Linked DNA regions of Sus scrofa. The protein of the gene in region 2 interacts with the protein of the main gene of each other region in a biochemical or structural test. Links are inferred from orthologs where the notes say so. Each region holds a gene or a part of one and is shown on either strand. Other genes may lie near its edges.

The links.
Region 1: the proteins of UBXN2B (region 2) and PPP1R7 form a complex in vitro, tested with the Homo sapiens proteins (2 studies listed by BioGRID). The link is inferred for Sus scrofa from reciprocal best matches to the Homo sapiens genes UBXN2B and PPP1R7.
Region 3: the proteins of UBXN2B (region 2) and PPP1R11 form a complex in vitro, tested with the Homo sapiens proteins (2 studies listed by BioGRID). The link is inferred for Sus scrofa from reciprocal best matches to the Homo sapiens genes UBXN2B and PPP1R11.

Annotation. Positions count from the first base shown.
Region 1 is NC_010457.5:139,916,650-139,920,921, forward strand, and holds the start of PPP1R7 (protein phosphatase 1 regulatory subunit 7), read left to right. Parts: upstream 1-1,356; 5' UTR 1,357-1,389; coding exon 1,390-1,441; intron 1,442-3,740; exon of another isoform or gene 3,741-3,802; intron 3,803-4,202; coding exon of another isoform or gene 4,203-4,272. UniProt on the Homo sapiens protein: Regulatory subunit of protein phosphatase 1.
Region 2 is NC_010446.5:74,417,102-74,420,745, forward strand, and holds part of UBXN2B (UBX domain-containing protein 2B), read right to left. Parts: intron 1,451-3,644; coding exon 1,313-1,450; intron 1-1,312. UniProt on the Homo sapiens protein: Adapter protein required for Golgi and endoplasmic reticulum biogenesis. Involved in Golgi and endoplasmic reticulum maintenance during interphase and in their reassembly at the end of mitosis.
Region 3 is NC_010449.5:22,632,808-22,636,485, forward strand, and holds PPP1R11 (protein phosphatase 1 regulatory subunit 11), read left to right. Parts: upstream 1-1,266; coding exon 1,267-1,335; intron 1,336-1,415; exon of another isoform or gene 1,416-1,943; coding exon of another isoform or gene 1,944-1,985; intron 1,986-2,447; coding exon 2,448-2,556; intron 2,557-2,924; coding exon 2,925-3,127; downstream 3,128-3,678. UniProt on the Homo sapiens protein: Atypical E3 ubiquitin-protein ligase which ubiquitinates TLR2 at 'Lys-754' leading to its degradation by the proteasome.

The DNA.
Region 1 (4,272 bases), on a different chromosome or scaffold from region 2:
GATGCGGCGTTGTCACTGCCCGGAATCGGGTTCGACCCCTGACCCGGGAACTTCCGCGTGCGGTGCGCGCGGCCAGAAAGAAAAAAAAGGCGCGGGTGAGCAGGTTGAAGACAAAGGCCAGAGAGGTAGCGGGCTCACGCTTTCACCCCGCGCTGCGCGGAAGAGCTCCGTGCCGCGCGTTCTCCCGGGGCCCACCTTCCAGCGGGGACGAGGGCACCCAGCCCCTCCGAGGGTGAGGATAGTGCGGGGGGCGTGTGGCCCCAGGACCTGCCGCGGCGCGGATGGCGGCAAACGGCCGCAAGGCGGCAAGCGGGCCTCCAGCCGGCCGGACCGCACGGAGGGAAGGCGGGCGGCGCGGGGCGCGGGCCGGCTCTCAGCGCACGCTTCTCACCGAAGGCCGGAGAGTCACCCGCCGAGTTCGCTTCACCCGCCAAGAAGGAACCGATCCGCGCCTCCTGCCCCGCCAGCCAATGGCAGGGCGGCCGGCGCCAAACGGCAGTCCCCACGGGCCAACCCCTGGCGCCGGTGGGCGGGACCCAGCGAGCGAGCCGAGACGCGCGCGACAACGGTTGCTAGGGACGCACCGGAGGCCTACGGCGCCTCGGAGGAGCCAAAGGGGCTGCGCCTCCACCTGCGCAGTCCGCGGACGCCGTGCTTCTGGCCTCAGGATTGAGGCGGTGAACAGAGCGGAGCTTGCCTCCCACAGGCGTCGGCCTGAAGGCAGGGCGCGCAAGGCGGCTCCTTCACGGCCCATGCTGCCTGCGGGGCCGGGGACTGACGGCGCTGTGGGGCCCGCAGTGGCTGGGTCGGCGTCCCGGGCCCCGACCTGCTCTCCAACCCCGCGTGCGGAAGGTCCCGGCTCCGGAACGAGTACAGGCGCACTGAGCTGTGCGTTAGCTGGAAGCGGCCCCTTCACACGGGCCAACTCCGCGCAGCGACGTTGGGACAAAGTCTGCCCATTGTGCAGACGCAGCCACTGAGACCCAGCGGGGCCGGTTCGCACTCGATTGACCCTCACTTTGCAGCCCCACGCAGGGACCCGCCCCTCCGTATCCAGCCACCAGCCCACGAGCGCGGATCGCCTCCCAGACTCCTCCCGCTCGCCTGCAGGCTCAGCTCCATGCGTCCGGCCCCGACTGCACCTGCCTTTTTCCCGCTCCTCGCTTCCAGAGCCTCCCCGGCACTAATCAGCTGCCTGCCGGGAGGTGAGGCTGGCTGCGGGGGGGCTGAGGATGGGCGCGGCCTCGCAGGAGGACTACAACTCCCATGAGACTCTGGGGCCGCGCAAAGCGCGTGGGACTCCATTGGCTGGGAAAGCTCTGAGCTGGGAGCCCTGATTGGCTGAGGGGCCTGAGGCGACAGATTCCGGAAAGGGGGAGAGCAGCGAACATGGCGGCGGAGCGCGGCACGGGCCAGCAACAGTCGCAGGAGATGATGGAGGGTGAGTGGCCTCGCGGGGCGGCGACCGAAGGGCCCAGCGGGTGGGGGCGGCGGCCCGTACCGGACTTGCCCGAGAGAAACGGGGCGGCGCGCTTCCGGCCGCGGCTTGGGCCCCGCAGCGCGCGCCGTCTGACATCTGCCAGCCGGCAGGGCGGGGGCGGCCCCGGACCTGGGGACCCCGGGCAGAGGCGTAGCGGGCGGCTGGGGAAGTGCCCAACCCAGAGCCAGGGGCGAGAGGCGGGGCGAGCCGGGCGCGTGGGAGGGGACTGAGGGCGCGGTGGTCCCGCAGCCCCGGCGTCGGCCAGCCCGAGGGAGCCTCCCACCGGATCTCTTGAGCCTGACTCGCGAGCCAGGTCCCCCGGCAGCTGACGATGAAACCGGGCACGGGGCTCCCTGGGACCTGCCCGAGTCAGCGTGGCGGGGCTGGAGGAGGGTCCTCGACAGCCCGTGGGTTGTGGGGAAGGGGTGACAAGGAGCCAAGAGTCGAGTTTTAGAATCGACAGCTTTCTGTTTCCAAAGCTATCATAGTTCAAAAAAAACCTACATTTCAACTTTTTTGCTTTGTTGAAAAAAATTATTTGCGTATTGTGTATGCATGTAATTACCTACACACACTTAACCCCGACCCGGAGAGTCAGCGGTGTCTTTGGGTGCTTACACACGGGCGTCCGCAGCTTTCCCAAGAGCAGCCGCTGTCTCGTGTGTGAGGTGCTAGCTAGGGAAGGAAGGGTGGGGAGCCGAGGGGAAAACAGGAAGGCTTGGCATGCTTGGGAGTGGAGGCTGCACAACCAAGGCCCGCTCTTCGCTGAACCTAGAAGGCTAACTGCAAGTCAGCCAGGTTGTGGATAGGCTGCGGGACAGATCATAGATCCTTTCAGGTGAGGGAAGCCGCTTGGATGAGGGCAAGAGGGTGTGAGAGAATGTGACCCGTTTGGAGGAGCGCACAGTCATATTGAGTGGGGGAGGGTGCCAGCGACGCTGGCCAGAGCCGTCCTGGAAGGGGGCACACGTGAAAGGTCATGGACTTTGAGGCGTTTAGATCTTTTGAGGCAAGGAAGCACCGCTTCTCATCCCCCTTCTTCCCACCTCCCACCTCCCTGGGCTTCCTCTTCACCTGTTTCCTTGTCTTGGTAAATGGCAAATGGCAACCCTAGCAGTTCTCTCTCTCCTGCTCCCACCCATGCGATTAATCACCTCCTTAATGTCTCCAAATGTTCACTACCGCTCCCATTCCTACGGCCCATACCTTGAGCCCGTCCCAAGTCTCCTTGTGTGCTGATCTGCTGTCCCTTGCCCTGCCCCTCAGGATAGTCCCAAGGTTCACTTTGGCTGCCCTTCATTTGCTAAGCCCCGCCCGCCCTGGGCTCAGCCACGCCAGACCATCGTCCAGGAGAACTTGCTGCCCCTTAGCCTTGACCACAGAGTGCCCTGTGCCTGCTAACAGCTAACCTATTAAATGTCTACACGTGTGTCTTGCACATGTTTCGTGCCTGATAGCAGCTCCGAAATGCAAGGGCTGTACCACCTCCTTCTACAGACAAGGGGACTGAAGAAGGAGAAGGAAAAAAGACGCCAAAGCCATGTCTGCCGGGCAAGATGCAAACGCAGGAAGAGCCCTGGCACTCCAGAAATTGTTGGAGTCAAAGATCAGATTTGGATTTTAGAATCAGAGCATTCTCTAGCAATGGAGAATAGATTAAACAGAGCGAGACAAGCCACCGAGAGACCAGTTGGGAGCCCAGGCCCCAGGTCATGAGCAGCTGATCCAAGGCAGCTGTCAGGGCAGGGAGAAGGGATGGCCTGGGAGGTTCGAGGGCTGGCTTTCGTTAGGACGTGCCCACAGTCCTTTCCTGGGTGCTGATTTGCTAGGCCCGGCAGGAGAGGCAAAGATGAAACAGAGCTTCCTTTCCCTCAAGGAGCACACCCTCTGTAGCTAAGTTCTTGTCGAAGAGGAGAGTGGACGTCCAGGGTGGGCGAGGAGTCCAGGGCATCTGTTAGTGCTCCAGGTCTTCCAAACAGGCATCTGGAAGAGGCTGCAAAGAAAGTTAGGAAAAAGGAAAATTATCTGACAGTCTTGCCAAAGGCTTTTTAGGAGTCTGCCTCATCTAGCCGTTGCCTGATTTATTCATTCACAAAATATTTATTTATCAGCCTTCCGAAACTCTGTGCTGGTATCACGGTGCCCTGACACTCAGCGTCAGTGACCTTCCTGGGGCATTTGCACCTCTGGCTGTCTTCTCCTTTTTCATAGAGCTCCCCCTGCCCACAGTCTGATTTGAGTTAGTCTTGATTTCTTTCAGCACGTGGGCCTGTGAACTGGGCTGGTTTTCTTGGCCAAGTGGATAGTGGAGCGTGGACGAAGGTATGTGGCAGCAGGGTCACAGTAGTGCCCTCTACGTGGCATCTAGGCCAGAAGCGAGCGGAACAGGAGGTGCTTCACGTGTTGCCATTAGCGCCTTGAGTCGCAAAGCGCCAGGGCTTTCAGAATGCCTGGCGATTCTCCACGAGTTCCTTGAGGGCAGGAAGAGGTGGTCACTCACCTCCACACCCTGTGGCCTCCCTGCTCTGCCCCCCCCCAGGCCCCCAGGTCTCCCCTCCACCGGCCACCTCAGAGGGTGCCCGGGACACCCATGGAGCACGCTGAACTCAACAGACGTCTTTGAGCGACGTCTTTGTGATTTGTAACTGGGTATCAGTCTTACATGTTCTTCCAGGAGCCCCTGGAAGCGGGTGTGAGTTCTCATGGCTGTGTGTGGGTTCAGTTGACAGGCGGGTGGAGTCGGAAGAGTCGGGCGACGAAGAAGGGAAGAAGCAGAGCAGCGGGATAGTGGC
Region 2 (3,644 bases):
ATTCGTTTCCACTGTGCCATAATGGGAACGCCTAGATTTGGCACTTTTAATCTCCAGTCTGGGAACTGAGATTCCACATCAAGTGGCTGCATGATGCAGCCAAAAAAAAAAAAAAAAAGAAAAGAAAAAAAAAATCTGGGGTCAGAGTTATGAAATCAAAAGGAGGGAAGAAATAGAATGATTCAGGAGAAGCCTGACTGTGTTGGCAGTAAGGAGATGAGAGCGAAAAGTTCCAAGCAGATCTGTCCTAAAAGCCAGGTCAATTCCTGTTACTGTGCGCTCCACACATCTCAGAAGTCAGCCTCTCATCAAAGACGAAGATATAGAAAGGGAGACTTGAGATATAAGACAGGTGAAAGAACGGATACTGAATTCGTTCCTTTGCTGGGAAATGAATGAGGAAAGAGAACCTGTGTGCACAAAGCACCTGAAAAAAACCTGGAGGGGAAGGACTCGCATCGAAAGGACAAAGCGTGTACAAAAGGGACGCTGGAAGTTCAGCCACAGTTCAGCACGCCACCTGCAGTAACGTGTGGACAAAGGGATGGTCACGCTCCACCTGCACACTTTACAAGGTTCAGGAAGAGCCGAGCTGTGGCTGTTACAAGGGAGCCCACTCAGACATTCCACCATGCACGCTGGCTTTGTCTGAATCATGCTTGGCAAAGTCCCGGGGTTCTTTGGAAAATGTCTCAGAGAAAATTCCCTCTTCCTACAATCAGAGAAGTTCTATATCTGTTTCTATAACTTGAAGGAAGAGTTTGGCTGCTTAAAATATACGGCAAATAACCAATTTAAGCACACTGCTTTTGCTTTGGGAGCTCAACAGCTACCTACGGCAGAGGGATGCTTATAGCTGTGACCTAAAGTATCTACGGTTTTCAGCTCATCAACATTTCCCCTCTCTGAGCCCATGAAATCGTAATCAGAAACAGGCGGGATGATGGCTTGGTGGTAAAGAGCACAGGCTCCATAGCCTGAATGCCTGGTGTGACCCCCGCAGGCTGACCACTTACTAGCTCACCCATGGCAAACGACTGCATTACACAAGGAGTAATAAGAGGACCTATGCCGAGGAGCTGTTGTGACGATTAGAGGGTCAATGCAGGCGAACGTGCCTAGAGGGCCAGGAATGTGGTACCTGCTGTCTAAGTATTACCTGCCAACACTATCACCAGATTTGCACATCTAATTCCATCAGCAAGGTCTATACAGTTCGTATTTTAGTTTTTACTTTTAGGTGATTTTGCTTTTCTTTTCAAAGCAAATGCATATTGAACAAGACAAGTGTTTTTCTCAGCTAGGATCTTACCTTCCAAGTTTCTGTCCCTCTCCACTGAAAGCCTTGAACCTCAGCCTGGGCTTAACATACTCCTGATCCTGATGGTCCTCCATATCCAAGTTCACGTGGCCGCCACGGACCAGCCGCTGAAGCTCCAGGGGAATCTCTCTTAAAAAAGGGAAAACCACAAGGAGATCACCTCACGCCTGCCAGAATGGCTGTCATCAAGAGAACAAAATAACAAATGTTGGCGAGGATGTGGAGAAAAGGGAAGCTCCGTACACGGTTGGGGAGAATGTGAACTGGTGCAGCCACTGTGCAGAACAGTGTGGAGGTTCCTCTAAAAACTAAAACTAGAACTACCATCGGACCCAACAATTCCATACCCGGGCATATATCTGAAAAAAGCAAAAACACTAATTTGTAAAGATACATGCACCCCAATGTTCATAGCAGCATTATTTACAACTGCCAAGGTATGGCAGCAACCTGTGTCCATCCACAGAAGAGTGGATAAAGAAGAGGTGATGTTTTAAAACATAGGAAACCTCATAATATTAGACATCAAACTGAGTTCAATATAGTTTATATCCACATGAAAAAATAAAGAAGATGTGGTGTGTGTATATATATATATATAGACATACATACATACACACAACTGAATGCTACTTGGCCATAAAAAACCCAAAATTTTGCCATCTGCAGCAACGTGGATGGACTTGGAGGTCATTATGCTAACTGAAATAAGTCAAAGACAAATACCGTATGATCTGACATGTAGAATCTAAAAAACACAGCAAATTAGTGAATATAACAAAATAAGAAGCAGACTCAGGGAGTTCCCACCGTGGCGCAGCGGAAATGAATCTGAATAGGAACCATGAGGTTGCGGGCTTGATCCCTGACCTTATTTAGTGGGTTAAGGATCTGGCGTTGCCATGAGCTGTGGTGTAGATCACAGATGTGACTTGGATCTGGCGTGGCTGTGGCTGTGGTGCAGGCTGGCAGTTACAGCTCTTATTAGACCCCTAGCCTGGGAACCTCCATAGGCCAGGGGTGCAGCCCTAAAAAGACAAAAAGACCAAAAAAAAGCAGATTCAGAGATCCATTACTAGTGGGGAGCAATATGGGGGTGGCAGAGTAGGAGGTACACACTATTGGGTGTAACCTTTAAAACTGTATTAAAAAATAAGAAAGACTTTTTTAAAAAGGGAAAAAGGTTTTAGTTAACTTTTTAGAAAATAAGTCTATACAGCTGAAACTGCTATAGTTAAGTTATGAGCTTGAAAAGAGCCATTTTTGCTTCATTTACAATTTAAAAATTCCTGTGATGATTGATTAGTTCCCAGAGGTATTTTTTTTTCTTTTTTTACTACTCGATGAATTTATTATATTTATAGTTGTATTTCTTTCTTAGTGCTGCAACAGATTTCTCCTTAGTGACTCTCCACCCTGGGAGTTTTGTTGTCACGGTGAAGCTGCAGTGCTTCTGAGCGTAAGAAAGCCGAACTGCTGGGCAGCAATTTACAGCTAAGTCGGCACTAGAAACCCTGGGAGGACGTGATGGTTGATGTAGATATTTATTGCTAAGTCCCCTGGGGAGTCTAGAAGTTTGCTGGGGTGACTGACTGTCGTGCTACGTGTGAGTACTCCCCTCCTTTGGCGTCAGGACCATGGCAGGGGTTGGGGGTCCCTCTTGCCCAGTGAAGACTTGTCTCGGGTTCCACAGAAACAGAGGGCCACCGCCAGAGTCACATGGATGACAATGATGTTTATAACATCTGAGCCTAAAACCTAAGGCTCAGGCTCCACCCCACATATACGCAAAAATTGTTTTTTCCAGGAACTCATCTGCCATATAAACCCAACACTGAACTTTGTTTTGTTTGGAACCCTACCAAGTCCCTGACCGCGTGTCACTTAAAGTAATTAAGCTGCCATCTTCACACACCCCGTTATGCTGTTTCATGTTTGTCACATTTACATGAGAAGGGCCTGACTGTACACAGGTGCTAACTATTGGACTTCTCTGTTATGTTACCTGGGGTGTCACACCCGGGCGTTTATAAACTGAAGTATGTCTAATTTTATAATAAATAACCTTCCTCACTTCTTCACCATATTCAAGATAAATTTTTTTGGGAAATAAAATGCATAGATAGATTGTATTATCTGTAAAGTCTTCACTGAGGATAGTGAAGGTGGTGTTATATTTGCTATGAAAAGAGGGCAGTGATTACACAGTTGACGACCACTCTCTGATCACGATCACTTTTTCTCAAGGAGTCTTTTCTAAAACTGTCCTTGATCATAATTTGTACCTGAGGCTATGTGTTGGCTCAAAGGAGAGAAACTCTCT
Region 3 (3,678 bases), on a different chromosome or scaffold from region 2:
CCTGTTCCTGTTTCTACCCTACTTTAAACTTTTCCCTAGTCTATAACGCTGACTGGGTAAAGCCCCGGTTTCTTAGCAAAGCACACAGGGAGGGCCTCCCGTGTGGCCATGCCCACCCATCAGTTCTTGTCTGGCACGCCCCTCACGTCCCCACAGTACAAAAGTGAGTTTCCTTCCGTGCAAGCAACTACGACTTTGTAGGTTGTTTTCTTTACCTAAAAAACTCATTTGTCTTCTTGTTCTCTTTTTACCGCTCTTTTGCTCCCTGAGAAACATGCACATATTTTTTGTCTCATCATAAACTGGTCTGTATTACAATTTATGACCATTTCTGTGCTTAATCTTACTCATCTTCCCCCCCCCCAGGACAAATGTAGGCAGTAACTCAGTTTCATAGGTAAGTCTTACATTTATGTTAATAGTCCAGTGACTTACATTTTTGTTAGTATTTATGCCAGTCTTTCCCACTAGACCGGGAGCTAAAAGGCAGAATCTTGAGGGTTTTATGCTCCTCCATCTTCAAGTTCTGATAGTGACAGGAAAAAAAAATACAAGTTGAAGGGACATTAAGTGCCCTGCTCGAACACCTGCAGTCACAGGGCGAGGATTAAAACCCAGAGTCTTAATCAAGTGTGTTTCCAATTGCCCCTGGGTCCCCATTCTCTAGTTCCCAGACGAAACAATAAGGAAAGGAGGACAGGCATTGTCATTGCCCCTTGGTTTTCCTCGCCCTCCCACACACCCCAAGGGATATGGGGTTATGGGGGGTGATTGGGGGCTCAGCCACAGGATGTTTAAACCAGGTACAGCGTCCACTTTGTAGCTGCAAGTCATCGCTACCCTTGCCGTTCGCCGTGGTGCGGTGCAGGAACGGGTTCTTGCCGTTGATCGCCCCGCCCCTGCTCCCACACCTCAGGGACGCCTCTTCCGCCAAATTCGTGTCGCCTCCTTGCGGCGCCTGCGCACTGTCACATTACGGCGGAACTAATCCCGCGACCCTGCGCTCTGACGCCTTTAGTGCCAGGAAGGGAAAAGGGGGACCACAGAACGCGTCACACCCGGAAGCGGAGAGCCGGAAGTGGGGTTGGACAGGTTATCCCCAGGGGTGGGGCAGCGGAGGCCCAGGAGGAGGGGGAAAAAGAAGGTGGAGGAACCTGGCTACTAATCTGAATCCGATACGGATTCTCTTAGACCTCAGAGACACAGAAAAGAGAGAAGGGTGCCTCATCCCCCTTCCTCCCCTCCTTCCTCTCCTCAGCCTTAGCCATGGCGGAGGCAGGGGCCGGGCTGAGTGAGACCGTCACTGAGACAACGGTTACCGTGACAACCGAGCCCGTGAGAAAGGCGGGGGGCGGTGCTGTTTAGGGGTCGGGGAGCTACCGGGAGGGAAGGGATAGGGCTTTGGAGAGTTGCTGGAGGGGCTGGGCCTGGGGATGTGGGAGGAGTGGGGTTGTGAGAATCGCAAGGTATTGGGGATTTTTGGTGTGTCAGAGTTGGTGCAGAAGGCTGGTCGAGAAGCGTGTTATATATAGAGTTAGGATGTAGGTGATGCTGCTTGGGGGAGGGGGGCTTGTAGAAGTAAAGAAAGAACGGGAACTTGGAGATTACGGAGCAAGGGAGGTGCTGGGGGAAATGAAGGGCTGTGTAAGAAAGCATGGTTGGAGGCCAGCTGCAGGGGAACTTGACTGGAAGCATGCTTATGAATAAGTATTCGTTGAAGGGATGAATGCGAAAGGAAGCAAAAGAATGAGGGAACAAGAAAAGGGAGATGAAGATAGTATTTTGAGAAACCAGCGGAGATGTAAATAGAGAAAAATGTAGCATTTTTGCCAAAACAGGTTAAGTTGCTTTCATTGGGAAAAGATTGTATGGAACTTCATAACCCTTGAATTAAGGGAGTTTAGAGTAATAGTAATTGGAGCTGTCAGGATGGTGGAGAATAGATGGATAAGAGGTGGGGAGTGCTGGGCTTGAGGATGAGACAGGTGAGAACAGAGTTCTTTCTTTAATGGGAAAAAGAATAGGGGGTCTGGAAAAAGAAAGAGATCAAAGAGTAGGCATCGGTGACTGAGGAAATAATTTCCATGTGTTAATACCACCAAGGATGATTTGGGGAGGAAGATGGAGAAACAGCGAGGATTATATTTTCCTTTGAAGATTTGCTGGGACCTTCCCTAGGTTAGGAATTGTGTCTTCTCTGTATACTAGTGATTACCAAGAACAGGAGATAACATGTCACGATTCCTCTAGGGACACCCTGAGGTCCAAAACCTGTTCTATTTTATCTTCTCCCAGCCCTCAGCTCCTCTGGCCTTAGGTCCATGATCCTGACTGAGCTGGGAAAGGGAAGAGAGGAGCCCCCCCCCCCCAGCTCCCGCCCCGGGAGGTAGGGGGAAAGGTTAGTGGGAGGGGATTCGATAGGTAAGCCCATCCTTCTTACCTTCCAGGAGAACCGGAGCCTAACCATCAAACTTCGGAAACGGAAGCCAGAGAAAAAGGTAGAATGGACGAGTGACACTGTGGACAACGAACACATGGGGCGCCGCTCATCAAAATGTGAGTAATTGTTGGCCCACAGTAACCCTGGAGTCCTGGCTCCCCTGAGCATATCTTCTACCTTGTCACATCCACTGGCCTTCCTGAAGCCTGCAGGTGCTCACAATTCTGTCGTTGTCTGGGGGATTCTCTGGTGTCAGGGAGAGAAGGTTAGAGTTAGAGGGAAGGAGGTCAGGAGGGGCTTGAACTGGGATGTGCTAAGGCCTGAAGTCAGGACATATCTGAAATGGGAGAAATGGAGCTTTAGATTCCTGGCTGGAAAGGACGAGGGAGTTGGGTGCTTGAGTCCCAGGGTGTGAGCCAGGGCTGCTGGATCCTGGAAGGTAACTCTTCCTCCTTTTTAACTGGGCTCCTCCTTTCAAATCCAGGCTGCTGTATTTATGAGAAACCTCGGGCTTTTGGCGAGAGTTCCACGGAGAGTGATGAGGAGGAAGAGGAGGGCTGTGGTCATACACACTGTGTACGGGGCCACCGCAAAGGACGGCGTCGTGCAACCCCGGGACCAAGCCCCACCACCCCTCCGCAGCCTCCCGACCCCTCCCAGCCCCCTCCAGGGCCAATGCAGCACTAAATTCCTCTCTCCCCCACCATTCCTGTGTCTGTCTGGCCCTGAATGTATTCATGTGGCTCCTTGGGGACTAAACCCATGTTTGATCCCTTCTCCAGCCCCTTCCTCCCCTCTCCGGATAGAAGGAAACAGGAGAGGAGGGTGGACAGAGATCCCGGAATTCTGACTTGCTGCTATTCCAGAGCCCAGGCTTCTGGGTTCTCTGAGTCCTCATTTCTCTTCCCAGTACCCAGCTTCCTCTCTCCAGGGATCCAGGCATCTTGGTCCCAATCTCTTCCCTTTGTTCTCACTGCCAAACTGCCTGTCCTGGGATCCAGTTATCCTGGCCCCATGCACTCTCCACTTGAGTCCCAAACAGTTAAACTGGGTTTCCAACAGCCCCAGCTTTCACTGCCAGGGTCCTAGTCAGATTCCAGGCAACCTCGGCCCAGCTACGCTTGTTACCCCTGGCTTAGAGCTCTTCCACTGCTGTCTTTACATAATGCTAACTCTTAGTCCTGGCCTGTGGGATTGTGAGGTCTTATGAGAGACCTCAGGGCGCTCTTTCCTTCCTC